Caenorhabditis elegans: one gene and its partners. The protein of the gene in region 1 interacts with the protein of each later gene in a pairwise test. Each region holds a gene or a part of one and is shown in the gene's direction. Other genes may lie near its edges.

Region 1 (3,830 bases):
GGCCTACTGGAAAAGAGCAAGTCAGGATATCTGATCGGAGATTCAATCACCTTCGCGGATCTTTATATCGCTGACAACATTCAAACACTGAAAAAATATGGGCTCCTAGAAGCTTCTGGAGAGCAACCAAAACTAGCAGCTCATCTCGAAAAAGTGTATTCCCACCCCAATCTGAAGAGCTATATCGCAAGTCGTCCAGTAACGGAGATCTAATTTTTAATCTTACTAACATGTTTTCCATATTCAAAAACAAAATAAAGAAGTTTCCTTTGACAACCAGAAACTTCATTAATGTTGACTGCCGCCGAAATGTCCTTGTCAATACTCTCTCACGTGGGGGGGGGGGGGGGGGGTAAACAAGAAAATGTGATGTTTGGTGAACAGAAAGGGTAGGGGAGAATAACAAAATAAAAACGAAGGAGGTTTTCTAAAGAATGATTGTTCTGGATTTTTTTTTGTTGGTTTTTTACAATTCATTTTTATTTTTATACTTATGCCAAGTTGAATTAAAGATGGAGCAGAGTTTCTGAAGTTTGCATATATTAATTACCTATTTTCAACAAATTTAGACGGCATTTTATTTTTGCCCAATTTTTTTCAGCCATCTAAGGACTGTCCTTTTTTTGGGCAAAAAAAATTTCTCTGAAACCGTTCGAAACTACTGGAAATTGAAAAAGGGCAATTTTTTAGTGTTTGCAGATCAATTTTGAGTCCTCTATCTATAAAATTGACCATTTTAGAGGAGTTTCAAAATTGTGATTTTTTGCCATAAATTGCCCATTTTTGCCACGTTATAGTTTTTGATGGGTTAAACATAGATTTTCTGAATTCAGCATACACGAATTACCCGTTTTCAACAAATTTAGCCAAAAATTTTTTTGCCCAATTTTTTTAAAGCCATCTAATGACTGTCCTTTTTTTTGGGCAAAAAAAAAGATTTTTCTTAAAACGTTTGGAACCACTGGAAATTGAAAAAGGGCAATTTTTTAGTGTTTGTAGATCAATTTTGAGTTCTCTAACTAAATTCAAAATGAACCATTTTAGAGGAGTTTTAAAATTTGTGATTTTTTACAATAAATTGCCCAAACAATATGTTTTTAAAAAAATTTTTAATGATTTTTTTTTTCAATTTTTCAAAAATCAAAGAAATGCCCAAATTATATTTGAATTCTCGCGCAAATGAGTGACGTCATTTTTGGCTAAATTTATGCGTTTTTTTTTAAAATTTTCTTCTATATTTGATTTAAAACACAAATTCGGCAATTGTTTTTCAAATTGAAAACTTTTTTCCGTAACATGGAAGAAATTGGTCTAAAAAACGGAAATTTAATATTTCTTTATATTTTTTTTGTTTTAGAAAATTGAATGTTTGAAAAATTGACAAACGGCGATTTAAATCAAATGTAGAAGACATATCAAGAAACCCCTCCAAAATTAGCCAGAAAAAGCGAAAATGCATAGAATGACGTCACTCATTCGCGCGGGAATTCAAATTTAATTCGGACGTTTTTTTTTTCAAATGGAAAAAAATTATTAAAAATTTAGAAAATTTTTAAAATTTTTTGACAGTTATATTTGGTTATTACGACCTATTTTCTGTGACTTAAACCCAAAAAAAATTTGAAAAAGCTCTTCTTCTCTTTTCAAAGTGGGGTTTTTTTCGAAACGTGTCCTGCAAAAAAATGTAAATTTCCAAAAAATCGTTTTTATTTCTCTTATTTTTCTTTTATTTTGAAATTTTAAATTTTGTGCTCTTTTTTATCACAATGCTCAAAGACCACCGATTTCCAATTCCCATATTATATTTTTGCTTAGAGACGTAAGCCTCAAATAAATAGACTTAGACTGTTAGAGACCTCGCTTTTTCCACTCAATTTTGTCGATTTTCGAATCCACCTTTTTCAATCTTCCAGAAATAAAATGCCACAATACAAGCTAACATATTTTGATCTACGTGGATGGGCTGAGCCGGCTCGACAGCTTTTCCATCTCTCGCATACTCCATACGATGATATTCGGATTCCAATGGCCGATACTGAAGGGAAATGGGAGAAAATGAGAGACAGTAAGTTCTTAAAGTGAAATGTGTTGCTTGTAGTTTGTAGTTTGTAGTTTGTAGTTACTGATGCCACACTTAATTTGAAAAAGTTTGAACTAAAAAACATTAAATTTCTTGGCTTTCGGGGAAAAATCTTTTTGTAGTTTGTAGTTTGTAGTTCGTAGTTTGTAGTCTGTAGTTTGTAGTTTTTAATTTGTAGTTTGTAGTTTGTAGGTGCTAGTTTGTAGTTTGTAAAAGGTTTTTTGGTACGAAAGTATTTTGAAAAATTAATTTTTGTCAAAAAAATAGTTTGTTACTTGTAGTCCGTAATTCGTATTATGTAGAATATAGGTTGTAGTTTGTAGTCTGCAGATTGTAGTTTGTAGTTTGTATATTGTAGTTTGTAGTTTGTAGCTTGTAGAAAGGATTAGATATTTCTGTTTTTTTTTCGTATAAATAGAAAGTCACTACATCCAGCTTTAGGGTTTCATAAGATCTTCAGGCGTACGCGCCTACTTTTTGCCTGCCTGCCTACGTGCTCTCCATTGTGACTTCTTGTTTAGCGCAGATTTCAAATATTTGTGTTAAGTATAAAATGTTCGATTACAAACTGAGAGTATGAACACACGATGGCAGACGTAGGCATGTAGGCAAGCGTGCCTACAAAGAAGACCTGCCATAATTAATTCAACTTCCAGAAACCCCATTTGGTCAGCTCCCAGTACTCAACGTTGATGGCTTCGACATCCCCCAATCTGCTGCAATTTGTCGATACCTTGCCAAGAAATTTGGTTATGCCGGAAAAACTCCAGAAGAAGAAGCGTGGGCGGACGCCGTTGTCGACCAATTCAAAGACTTCTCCGTTGCTTTTAAAACACTCCTTTTTGCCACAAGGGCCGGGAAACCAGAAGAAGAAATCCTCAAAATCCGCTACGAGATTTTCAATCCAGCTCGAGATGTCTACTTTATTCTTCTCAATCGAATTCTCAAAAAGAGCAAGTCAGGTTATTTAGTTGGTGATGGGCTCACATGGGCTGATCTAGTTATAGCTGATAATTTGCACAGTCTGGAGAAGCTTCGAGCCATCGATGATGATGATGAAGGACATCAGAATTTGAAAAAGTATAAGGAGAAAATCTATGGAACCCCAGATTTGGAGGATCATATTGCGACGAGAATGGATACAGAAGTCTAAATTTTGAATCGCGTTGAATTTTTAAAAACTGTGATAAAAGATAATAAACATATTGTAGTATTTTATGCGGATATTTTTTTACCGAAATACTTTTTTTTGAAATAATAGTGCGAGAAGTGCAACAGGGCTCCATATGATTTTTCAGTACTTTTGAATTTTTGAAAAAAACAGCTTTTGATGTATTTTCTGAACTTTTTAAAATAATCTTCCGTACAAGTTAGCAAATTTTATTTAATATTTTTTGGTATATTTTATCATGCTAAACAGTTTTATAAAAGAAAAATGAAGCACTTCATATGATTTTTCAGTACTTTTGAATTTTTGAAAAAAAAACAGCTTTTGATGCATTTTCTGAATTTTTCAAAAATTTTTCCAATTTTCTGACTTTTTGTTTTGTGACCAGTGTTTCTTCGCAAAAACACAAACCACTCTTCTATTTCTCTATTTCTCTCACTCTCCCTCCCCTCAATTTCGGAGATTTTCGAAACGACTTTGTGTATATAAAGTACTACTCAATCATCTCCCATCAACAAACAATGCCACAATACAAGCTCTACTATTTCAACCTTCGTGGATGGGCTGAGCCGGCTCGGCAGC
Region 2 (6,324 bases), on another chromosome or scaffold:
TTTACTATTTGTGTTGAATCTGGACGTTACTCTACCTTTAAGTGTTTGAAAAATTTTCAAATTTCTAGATTTATTGTGGGACAATGTTTGCAAAGTTGAAATTTTTCTTGTCTAAAATCTTGTAAAAATTTGAAATTTCCAAATATTTCAGATTAATTTGAATTTCTCTAAAACATCAACCCCATTAAAATGATACTTAAGGCTCAGTAACTGAAAGTTGGCAATTTCTTGACATTTTCAATTTTTGTCTCGCACCTCTGATATACATTGGTGATCATAAAAGTTCAGACTTTTCATAAACCTTGGGAATTTTGACATTGTGTTAGTGTAAACTCAAGCTGCGGTGTTCAAAATTTTCCAGTTTACCAATTCTGAGAAAGTCTGAAACGAGCACACACACACACACACACACAATGTGCTCTTAAGAATGAAGAGTAGACAGCAAGTGTGTATAAACATGCCATAGTGTATTGAAAGAACCTATAGTGCATTTGTGCTTTATGGTGGGCATGAAGTGATGTCATCTGATCCCTTGTTGGGTCAATCGTTCTCACAAAAAAAAGCTGTGGAACACATTCGTAAACAGAACGTCGATGCCCCCCGTTTCTGAATCATCAGTGACATTTTACTTCATTTCTAAACATAACATTTCCTTTTTTTTGCCTTCCGTCATTGTTTCTCATATTTTTCTATACGACGATTACTCATCAAAAGAGGACACGCTTCATGTTTTGTAACGAAATGGAAAACTATTTTTTTGTTCTTATTCGGGAAAAGTTGGATGTGAAACATTGGGAGAACACCGCGCACGGTTGAGGGGGGGGGGGGGGGGGGAAGAGGAAACCAATTTGACCACTATGTTTTGAAAAAAAAAGAATCTCAATGAGTTTTCTGGGTGATACTAATTAAATTGCGAACCCATTTAATCAGGTCCCTCTTTCTCGGCACTTTGTTCGTTTTCTTCGCAACCAATAAAACTGGACCCCGAGAGGTAACATGTTGTTGATGGTTCCTGATGATGCTCCGCTCTTCCCGCTTCTCATCTCCCCCGCATTGTGCAGTTGAAAGCAAAACTTGCAGTGTAACACCGAGAAAGCAGGGCAGCTAATTCAATGGAAACAATTCAAACTTTTTGGAGAAAAAAAATCTAAACCCTCTCGCTCAAAGATTATATTCCGGCGGAATACAGAAAAAAAAAACAAATTGTTGAATCATATAAATTCAAAAATCGAACATGTGACAATATCCAAGAATAGAAATTGATGACTAATACAATTTTCAGAAATTTTGCTTTGTTGTGATTTGAAACAAAATCATTTTCAGATATACTTTGAAGTACAAAAAGTGTTGAAAACATGAGGAATTTTCCTTTAACACTGGCACGTCATGCTCCACTTTGACAAAATACGTGTCAAATTTTTTTCTACATTTGAACATTGAATCATTTCTTAATAAAACTAGAGACCATCGATATATTGGAAAATACGGTTCCTTCATTACCAACTTACAGTTAAAAAACCTCGCTTTTCCTGATATTGATGACAAAAAGATTAATTCTAGATTCGAATATATCACTAAGTATGGCAAGAAAAGAGTTCTGAGAACATCTTTAGTCTGCAGTGCCACGACGTCTGCAATTGTTTTGCAACATTAAAATCTTACGGTTCCTTATCAAATTATCCCTTAAAAACCGAACGGCCGTTCGCTTTTCACTGACCAATTTCATAATTACAAAACATTTTTAGGCGTTTTTCTCACGTTGCGCTCTGCCGAACGCCTCATCTTCGAGGCGGGAAGGCGCGACGCGGTCCCCCAATTCAAATTTTCCAGGACACCACCACCACACTGTTTTTCCCTCCGTGTCCCGCCCTTCCGAGGACCGTCTGTCGGATGGCCGCTCTCCAGTATTCCCTCAATCCCTCATTCGGTTGGGCGGGGCCAGCCGACCAATGGCAAAGAGCGGCGCGGACGCGTCGCGTGCAGCAGTATAAATAGGCCACGAGAGGCAGAGTTGTGCACTGGTTTTTCACTAGGCACCCGCTTTCAGTTCCCAAAAAAATGTGTGACGACGAGGTTGCCGCTCTTGTGGTGGACAATGGATCCGGAATGTGCAAGGTGAGTTGATAACATTTGAATAATTCTAATTAGGGACAAAGGTTTAAAACAATATTATGCAATCTTAACTGCTCTAGAAACATTTGAATATAAGATTTAGAAATTTTGGAAAATTTTATTTTGTTAGTTTTAACTGCGCTTATTCCAACTCCATGTCTCAAATTTACTTTTCATTTGGGTTTAAAATTTCCAACAACCTAGGAATAATTCCATTGCATTGTATAAAAAGTTGTTTCCCTGCCGCATAAGGATTTTGAATTTCTATTCCTTCTCAACGTTTCGATTTGCATTGTTTCGCAAATAATTATGGCAACAGTTGTAGTAGTAGTGGGTGGTGATTCATATCGTCCGTCAACACCTGCGCGCGGTCACTCGCTCCCTCCCATTTTCAAATCTGGCGCCACGCGCCCCTTTTTCATCCCACTGGGAGAATATGTAAGGGGGGGGAAGAAAAAAGGAATCGTCGCAAGGATATGTTTTTAGTGTATGTAGAGTATTGTTGGAGAGGGGCCAACCCGACCCCGACCCGATGCGCATTTGCAATGGTGTGTGAGGAGAGGCCGTCCGTTGAGGGAACGTCCGCGACGTTTCCTTCGTACAATGGGATATATCACGACCAGCCAACAGTAGTGTAATGCACATTCCGAGAGGGCAGTGGCAATAGTTGAATAGAGATTTCGCCAGTAGATTAGCAACCCCATAAGATAGAAAGAGAGGCAAACCATTCAACAAGAACAGCGATTTTTTTCGTCGTCAAAAGCCAGTAGTTTTTTGTCTATCCACGACGGGTATCTTTATTTGCAACCACCTCACTTTGCAATCCTCATTAAGTATAATTTGGGAACGAAGAAGCGCAACGCGAACATCAATTATCCGCACCACCCTCAATAGTGCTACTTGGCTAATTTGTGGCCCTAGGAAACAAGATGTGTGTGAGTGTCTGAGAGTGTGAGATTCCGATGGTATTGGCGAACCCTTCCCGGATTTATTTATATATATGTGTCAGAAAAGAGGCTGCCGCTAATCGCTAATCTTGACAGTGTGTTGGTCAAGTGTGCCCTTGTATCCTCCTCGCATCACTGTATGCAGGGCGGCGGTTTCCCTCCATTCGGCCTCTCTTGTTGAATGACTACCACCACGCCAACAGCCGAACGGATGGGAGACGGATAGGACACAAGAAGGGACGGACGGACTGTCAAGGCCAAGAAATGCCACCTTTTGTCAATCCTCACTATATTGATTGATAGAAATGAATATGCGCAATCTAGACATGAGAGTCCGATTGAGGCCAAGTAGTAGGAGGCGAAAAGTGCGATTAGGATGAACGGGGAGAGAGTAAGTGACCGGGATAGGATTGTACAAATGCAATGGTCATCAGGGACTTTCATCATCAAAATGTCCCCCTTCCCATTCTAATTCAATTTTCCACAATTTCCATTTGAAATCAAAAAACTGACACGCTCACATCTGGTGCTCTTGGTGTGTAGACGATGACTCAATGCATTTCGAAATCTGTCTTAGTGCCCGAATGCCCCGCTTCTCAGTGCTGCTGATGGCCTCCCATTCGCCCCGTTTCCTATCTCATTATTCAACAGCGCAATTGGATTGCGAAATGGATCTGAGTGGGTAAAAAAAAACGGGGCCAGTGGCAGCAGCAGGCCCCTGCGACCAACACGGGGGTAAGCGAGCGCTGGGCACACTCTCTCACACACACACACACACACACACACACACACACACAAACACAGAGAGACATACACACATCTGTTGAGCGTTGTCGCCGCTCACCACACACCAAAGCGTTCTCGGAAAAAGTACTTCATTCGATATCAACCGTGAACTAGAGGAGTAGAGCGAGAGAGGGCATTTTGAGAATAGGGGAATGGGCCTTTTGTGTTTGCACTGCTCTCGCTCGTGCGCGGACTCACTGCGCTCTGCCAAATCTCGACCGAATTCTCGCCGCAACCTTCTCTCTTTGCAATGTAAATATAATGGACATTCTTGAAAGACCTAACGAGAGTATTCATTTCTTATCTAGGGGTCATCATGGGATATATTGAAACAAAAATTGATAATTTCAGGCCGGATTCGCCGGAGACGATGCTCCACGCGCTGTCTTCCCATCCATCGTTGGACGCCCAAGACATCAAGGTGTGATGGTCGGTATGGGACAGAAGGACTCCTACGTCGGAGACGAAGCCCAGTCCAAGAGAGGTATCCTTACCCTCAAGTACCCAATTGAGCACGGAATCGTCACCAACTGGGACGATATGGAGAAGATCTGGCATCACACCTTCTACAACGAGCTCCGTGTTGCCCCAGAAGAGCATCCAGTCCTCCTCACTGAGGCTCCACTCAATCCAAAGGCCAACAGAGAAAAGATGACCCAAATCATGTTCGAGACCTTCAACACCCCAGCCATGTACGTCGCCATCCAGGCCGTGCTCTCCCTCTACGCTTCCGGACGTACCACCGGAGTCGTCCTCGACTCTGGAGATGGTGTCACCCACACCGTCCCAATCTACGAAGGATATGCCCTCCCACACGCCATCCTCCGTCTCGATCTTGCCGGACGTGATCTTACTGACTACCTCATGAAGATCCTCACTGAGCGCGGTTACTCCTTCACCACCACCGCTGAACGCGAGATTGTCCGTGACATCAAGGAGAAGCTCTGCTATGTCGCCCTCGACTTCGAGCAAGAAATGGCCACCGCTGCCTCCTCATCTTCCCTCGAGAAGTCCTACGAACTTCCTGACGGACAGGTCATCACCGTTGGAAACGAGCGTTTCCGTTGCCCAGAGGCTCTCTTCCAGGTAAGAAAATATTTGCACCTCTAGCTAAACATAAAATTAATTCCTATTCATTTCAGCCATCCTTCTTGGGTATGGAGTCTGCCGGAATCCACGAGACTTCTTACAACTCCATCATGAAGTGCGACATTGATATCCGTAAGGACTTGTACGCCAACACCGTCCTTTCCGGAGGAACCACCATGTACCCAGGAATCGCCGATCGTATGCAGAAGGAAATCACCGCTCTTGCCCCATCGTAAGTTTAACTTAAATGGATTTCAAGAACTAATATTTACTTTCTATTTTTTCAGCACCATGAAGATCAAGATCATCGCCCCACCAGAGCGCAAGTACTCCGTCTGGATCGGAGGATCCATCCTCGCCTCCCTCTCCACCTTCCAACAGATGTGGATCTCCAAGCAAGAGTACGACGAGTCCGGCCCATCGATTGTCCACCGCAAGTGCTTCTAAATTTTTTGCCCCTTCCACCCACAACGCTCAAAAGAAGTTCGTATTATCCCGCAACCCATCCAGACCATCCTTTTACATTTTTTTTATTTTCTCTTTTTTTTTTCTTCACCCTCTCCGTGTACATTGCTAGTAATAGTTCCAACTTCTCTAGCCGACTGCATTATGCTTCCCATTCTCACCCAAATCTTCATTGGTAACTTCTCTTGTATTTGTTCAATACTATTCCGGTAGTAATCTAGGCATGTATAACTAGGTTCTCTGTGTATCTTTGGTTTGAAGTTGAGGTTTAATGCAATCACTTTTGTTGTTGTACCCTATTACTGCCGATGACCCCCATTTTCTCATTACAAAATTGACATTTTAAACCATTTTTTCTCTGAATCATGCTCATTATTTGAGCCACATTCATAATAAAGCTTTTAATAAGACAAATTGATCAAGTTTATCTAATGTAAAAAATACAAATAAAGAAAATTCAACCCGGAGGAGAGATGAAGTGAGTAGCTGTTACGGAACACAGATTATTTGCCTTGTTTGTTTCCGAAGATGTCTCCGACGCGGTCCAAAATTGAGCCAATACTGAGCGGATCATCTGGATTTGTGCAACGGACTCCTAGTAGTTGATCCTGTAATTTAGAAGGTGAGTTTTTTTAAACTAAAACAACAAATCTTAGAAAAATATGTTGTTTTTTGAGTTTAAAATAAGAATTGAACACAAAATGTACAACAAAAATTAAAAAAATTCATGGAATTCTTGATCCGCTTTTATGATTAGTGTCTCATTTTGTTTTACTCAAGTATGTTATTAAAAATATATCATACAATGTTTGAAAAAATATTTTTAACGGAAAAAAACAGGATATGGACGCAGCCTATTATTCATTTTCTACAAGTCGAAACATTGCCACATGAATATAGCATTTTTATAAAATAAATAAGGTAT
Region 3 (4,360 bases), on another chromosome or scaffold:
TTTGGAGGCTTTGAGATAATTTCACAAAATCTCTCTGCACAACTTCAGATGTGTCGAGTTCTTGTTGAAGACTTGTGCACCGTTGCTTGTAGTTCTGTGCCGTCTGTTCAACAGCGGCTCTCTCATTTTGAACCTGCTGAACCTGCGTCTCAAGTTCACCGACAGTTGTTTGAAGATCTCTAATTTGTCTGATATTCGAATCTTGATCTGCAATTGTTTCCGATGCAACAACCATTCGAGTGTTGATCTTTCCTAATTCCGACTGCAATCTGCTGATCTCTGCAGTAAATGTCACTTCCTGATCTTCTCTGTGCGCTCTTTCTTCTAGAATCTGAGCTCGCAGGACGGTGATCTCATCCTGCAGCTGCTGCTCGGTGTGCTCTTTTGCAGCTCGAGTTTCTATCAATTCTTCCCTATTCTTGAGACAAATAAATTGTAATTGATCAAGATCAGCTGGCATATCGATTTTCTCGGACCGAAGTTCTTGTGCTGATTTTCGTGTGGACCCGAGAAGCTTTTTGTACTTTTTTCCTAATGTAACAAAGTCATCGTCGGCTTGTTGCAGTTTGTCACGAGCCAAATTCAATTGATCAGTGAATACTTCTATCGATTTGTCGTGCTGAAATTAAGCTTTTTTAAAAGTTATTCTTTTTATTTATTTAAAATACCTTCGCACTGAGCTCGTCCAGCCGCTGCTCCGACTTGGCATTTGCCTTTGCCGCCTCGTTAACCTGATTCAAACAATTAGTCGATAATTCGTTCATTTTCTTTTCCAATTCTTTTCGATAGTCTCGTTCATTGCTCAAATCCAATTGATATCTTTCGTTCAACTCCATTGCCGCCTTCACTTCTTCCTTTAACTTTCGTTCGTTTTCCTGCAAAACAAACAAAAATCATTTGCATATTTGCCGTGTTCCCATGATTCTCACCTGTAATGCAGTCAAATTCACTTCATAATTCTGGCACATTTCGCATTGAAGCGTTGGATTCGGTGAGACTTGCGAAATCTTTTTGGACGGTATTGGCGGCTCCTGAAATTTAAGGGTCTTTGAATTATCGATTAAAATGCAACACTCTTACCTCTGCATTCACTCCGGCAGACACTTCTTCGCTAGCCGACGGTTCTGTCATTTTTCTAGAAAATTCTTGATTTATTCGAAAAATATATGAGTCATTTGATTAATTAAATAAAAAAGGTCTCATCACAATGTTGGCAAGGACTAGGTTGAAAACCTAGGCCATTTGGTGACACATTTAAAGAGCATTAAACATAATAATCGAGCAGTTTTAGTATTAATTTCATTAAACGACTTCCAAGAGAAAAGTAAATGTTTTCTGGAGTGAAATAAACATATTTCATTCTGTTGAGTTATGAAAATGTTATTATATGTTTAATTTATTTTTTATTCATAAAAATTTAAAAATTTGTAGTAAAAATCATTCTATTTATAAACAATATATCGCTCTGAAAAATCAAGATGAACAAAATTTTATATATAAAATTTATAATTATATTCAAAGTTCAGAACATTTCCAGCTATTGTAGTTTTCTTTCCAGGACCCAAAAAATGATTTAAGCGTTGCGCCTTGAATACAGTACTACTCTACGTTAAAAATTGTTCTTTTCTTCTTTTCGATTTCTAAAATTTTCCGACGTTTTTTTCCTGTCAATTTTTTTTTCACTAACTTTCCTCAAATAATTCCTGATCTTTTCGCTTTTCTCATGTCTTCTCCATTATCTTTTCCTTCATTTTTGATTCTTTCTATTAGAAACCTTGATAACTATCACTGATAACGCATTTTTGATAATCAGCACCACATATTCTTCTCTCGAACTTTCGCCCAGTAGAAACTAACCGTTTATCGCTTATAGAAAATCATTCCAGATTCAAATTTTATGCAACATTTTGTCTTATCTTTTTTCATTTTCACTCCGATGGTAGTAAAATATTGGGCTCAATTCATTTTGAGTTTGAATCATGACAAAGAAGTCGTTTCGAAAAAATCGTATTTCCGAAAAATTGAAAGTAGTGTGCGGCTGCTATCCAAAACATGAAATTGAGCCCAATACCAGCTATCAACCCAAAAAGGTTTTCACTATTCTTTCTTTGTCTTTTCATAAATAAGTTTATTTAATTTAGATGGCCGCTGCTCTGAAACCAAGTGCTCCGGAGATCCGCAAAGCTGCACAAGAGTTCATCAACTATCTGAATAAAGCAGTTACTCCATTTCATGGTAATATTTATTATTTATTTTTATATTCAAAAGTATATCAATTGCAGCCACCCAAGAAGTGAAGGATCGCCTTCTACAAGCCGGTTTCACAGAGCTTCCAGAATCGGGTCACTGGGACATTCAGCCAACCAGCAAATACTTTGTCACCAAGAACCGCTCTGCAATTCTTGCATTCGCTGTTGGAGGATCTTACAAGCCAGGGAGTGGATTCTCGATTGTTGTGGGACACACTGACAGTCCATGCCTCCGTGTCAAACCAATTTCCCACCAAAAGTCTGATAAATTCCTTCAAGTTGGTGTATCAACTTACGGAGGTGGAATCTGGAGAACCTGGTTTGACCGTGACTTGTCGGTGGCTGGATTGGTTATTGTCAAGAATGGAGAGAAACTTCAACACAAGCTGATCGACGTGAAAAAGCCAGTTCTTTTCATTCCAAATTTGGCGATTCATTTGGAGACCGACAGGTATTTGAAATTTGTCACTATCGTCCTAATTTTGCAATTTATTTCTCAGAACAACATTCAAACCAAACACGGAAACTGAGCTCCGCCCGATTCTGGAAACCTTCGCTGCTGCTGGAATCAATGCACCACAGAAACCCGAGTCTACTGGTTTTGCCGATCCACGAAACATTACCAACAATCATCATCCCCAATTCCTCGGATTAATCGCGAAGGAAGCTGGATGTCAGCCAGAAGACATCGTTGATTTGGATCTCTACCTTTACGATACAAACAAGGCTGCGATTGTTGGAATGGAGGATGAATTCATTTCTGGAGCTCGTCTTGATAACCAAGTTGGAACATACACTGCGATAAGTGGACTTCTCGAGTCTCTAACTGGAGAGTCATTCAAGAATGACCCACAAATTCGTATTGCCGCATGCTTCGATAACGAGGAAGTAGGATCGGATTCCGCGATGGGAGCATCTTCTTCTTTCACGGAGTTCGTTCTCCGCCGTCTTTCTGCTGGAGGCTCAACAACCGCTTTCGAAGAAGCAATCGGAAAGAGCATGCTCATCTCTGCAGATCAAGCTCATGCCACGCATCCAAACTATTCGGCAAAACACGAAGAGAACCATCGTCCAGCATTCCATGGTGGAGTCGTCGTCAAAGTAAACGTCAATCAACGATATGCAACAACTTCAACCACACACGCTGCTCTCAAGCAAGTTGCATTCGAAGCTCAAGTTCCTCTTCAAGTTGTCGTCGTTCGCAATGATTCTCCTTGTGGATCGACGGTTGGACCGATTCTTGCCACAAAACTTGGCTTGCAGACTGTCGATGTAGGATGCCCACAGTTGGCTATGCACTCGATTCGGTAGGGATTTAACTTTTAAATCACATCATTTATTTTCTTGATTTCAGCGAGTTTGCCGACACTTCGAGCATCTACCAGGCCACCACTCTCTACTCTACATTCTACGAACGTCTGTCAACTGTCCTCTCCAACATGCAATAGGCAAATCAATGTTGATCCTTCCCAATCATAATTTCTACTATTTAATCGCGTCGTGATATCCAATCTTCAGTTTCTCTGTGAATATTAATTTCTATAATTTATTTGGTTTTCAAATAAATAAAGCAATGCATTTTTTAAAAGCTGAAATTTTATAGATAACAATTTAAACAAAAACAAATCTAATGCTTCGGATTAACAATTTCGATCTTCGAACTAATTGATGGTTCAATTCCAACGGCCTTCATCAAAAAGTAGAAAGTGGCTTCGGTGCTTTCCTTGATCACTTGTCCATTCCTAAATCCATGTCCTTCTCCATCGAAAAGCATCAGAGCAGTTGTAACTCCACTAGCACGGATCTTCTCATACATTGTGATAGATTGGCTCATCGGTACTACCGTATCCTCCCTTCCATGCAAGAATGCAATAGGAGTTCTAATTTTATCAATATGATAAATGGGACTTCTTTCTTCGTAAATGCTCGCTTGCTCAGGATATTTTCCGATAAGCATCTCATTGTAACATCTTTCCAGTTTATGAGTATCTTCATCTAAAGCCAATAGATCAGCAACTCCATACACAGAAACTGCTGCTTTTATGATATTTTTCGGTGAGATAAGACAGCTCAGAATCAGATACCTGAATAAAAATATTTATAAAACTTTA

The links. Proteins that work in one complex are often made in the same cells at the same time.
Region 2: the proteins of gst-15 (region 1) and act-4 interact in a two-hybrid assay, tested with the Caenorhabditis elegans proteins (one large-scale study listed by BioGRID).
Region 3: the proteins of gst-15 (region 1) and dnpp-1 interact in a two-hybrid assay, tested with the Caenorhabditis elegans proteins (one large-scale study listed by BioGRID).

The regions. Positions count from the first base shown.
Region 1 is NC_003280.10:13,611,234-13,615,063, reverse strand, and holds gst-15 (glutathione transferase), read left to right. Parts: upstream 1-1,867; 5' UTR 1,868-1,920; coding exon 1,921-2,065; intron 2,066-2,736; coding exon 2,737-3,233; 3' UTR 3,234-3,294; downstream 3,295-3,830. Other genes in the region: gst-14 (glutathione transferase), read left to right, coding at 1-213; gst-24 (glutathione transferase), read left to right, coding at 3,770-3,830.
Region 2 is NC_003284.9:4,958,604-4,964,927, forward strand, and holds act-4 (Actin-4), read left to right. Parts: upstream 1-2,017; 5' UTR 2,018-2,058; coding exon 2,059-2,115; intron 2,116-4,196; coding exon 4,197-4,931; intron 4,932-4,987; coding exon 4,988-5,166; intron 5,167-5,221; coding exon 5,222-5,381; 3' UTR 5,382-5,810; downstream 5,811-6,324. Other genes in the region: M03F4.6 (EB domain-containing protein), read right to left, coding at 5,903-6,007. UniProt on the Caenorhabditis elegans protein: Actins are highly conserved proteins that are involved in various types of cell motility and are ubiquitously expressed in all eukaryotic cells.
Region 3 is NC_003281.10:5,861,328-5,865,687, reverse strand, and holds dnpp-1 (Aspartyl aminopeptidase), read left to right. Parts: upstream 1-1,884; 5' UTR 1,885-1,979; coding exon 1,980-2,090; intron 2,091-2,141; coding exon 2,142-2,235; intron 2,236-2,282; coding exon 2,283-2,700; intron 2,701-2,749; coding exon 2,750-3,556; intron 3,557-3,603; coding exon 3,604-3,697; 3' UTR 3,698-3,846; downstream 3,847-4,360. Other genes in the region: rabn-5 (FYVE-type domain-containing protein), read right to left, coding at 1-619, 669-875, 930-1,031, 1,081-1,131; dpf-4 (Peptidase S9 prolyl oligopeptidase catalytic domain-containing protein), read right to left, coding at 3,877-4,333. UniProt on the Caenorhabditis elegans protein: Aminopeptidase with specificity towards an acidic amino acid at the N-terminus. Plays a role in membrane trafficking and is specifically involved in the recycling and degradation of endocytic cargo.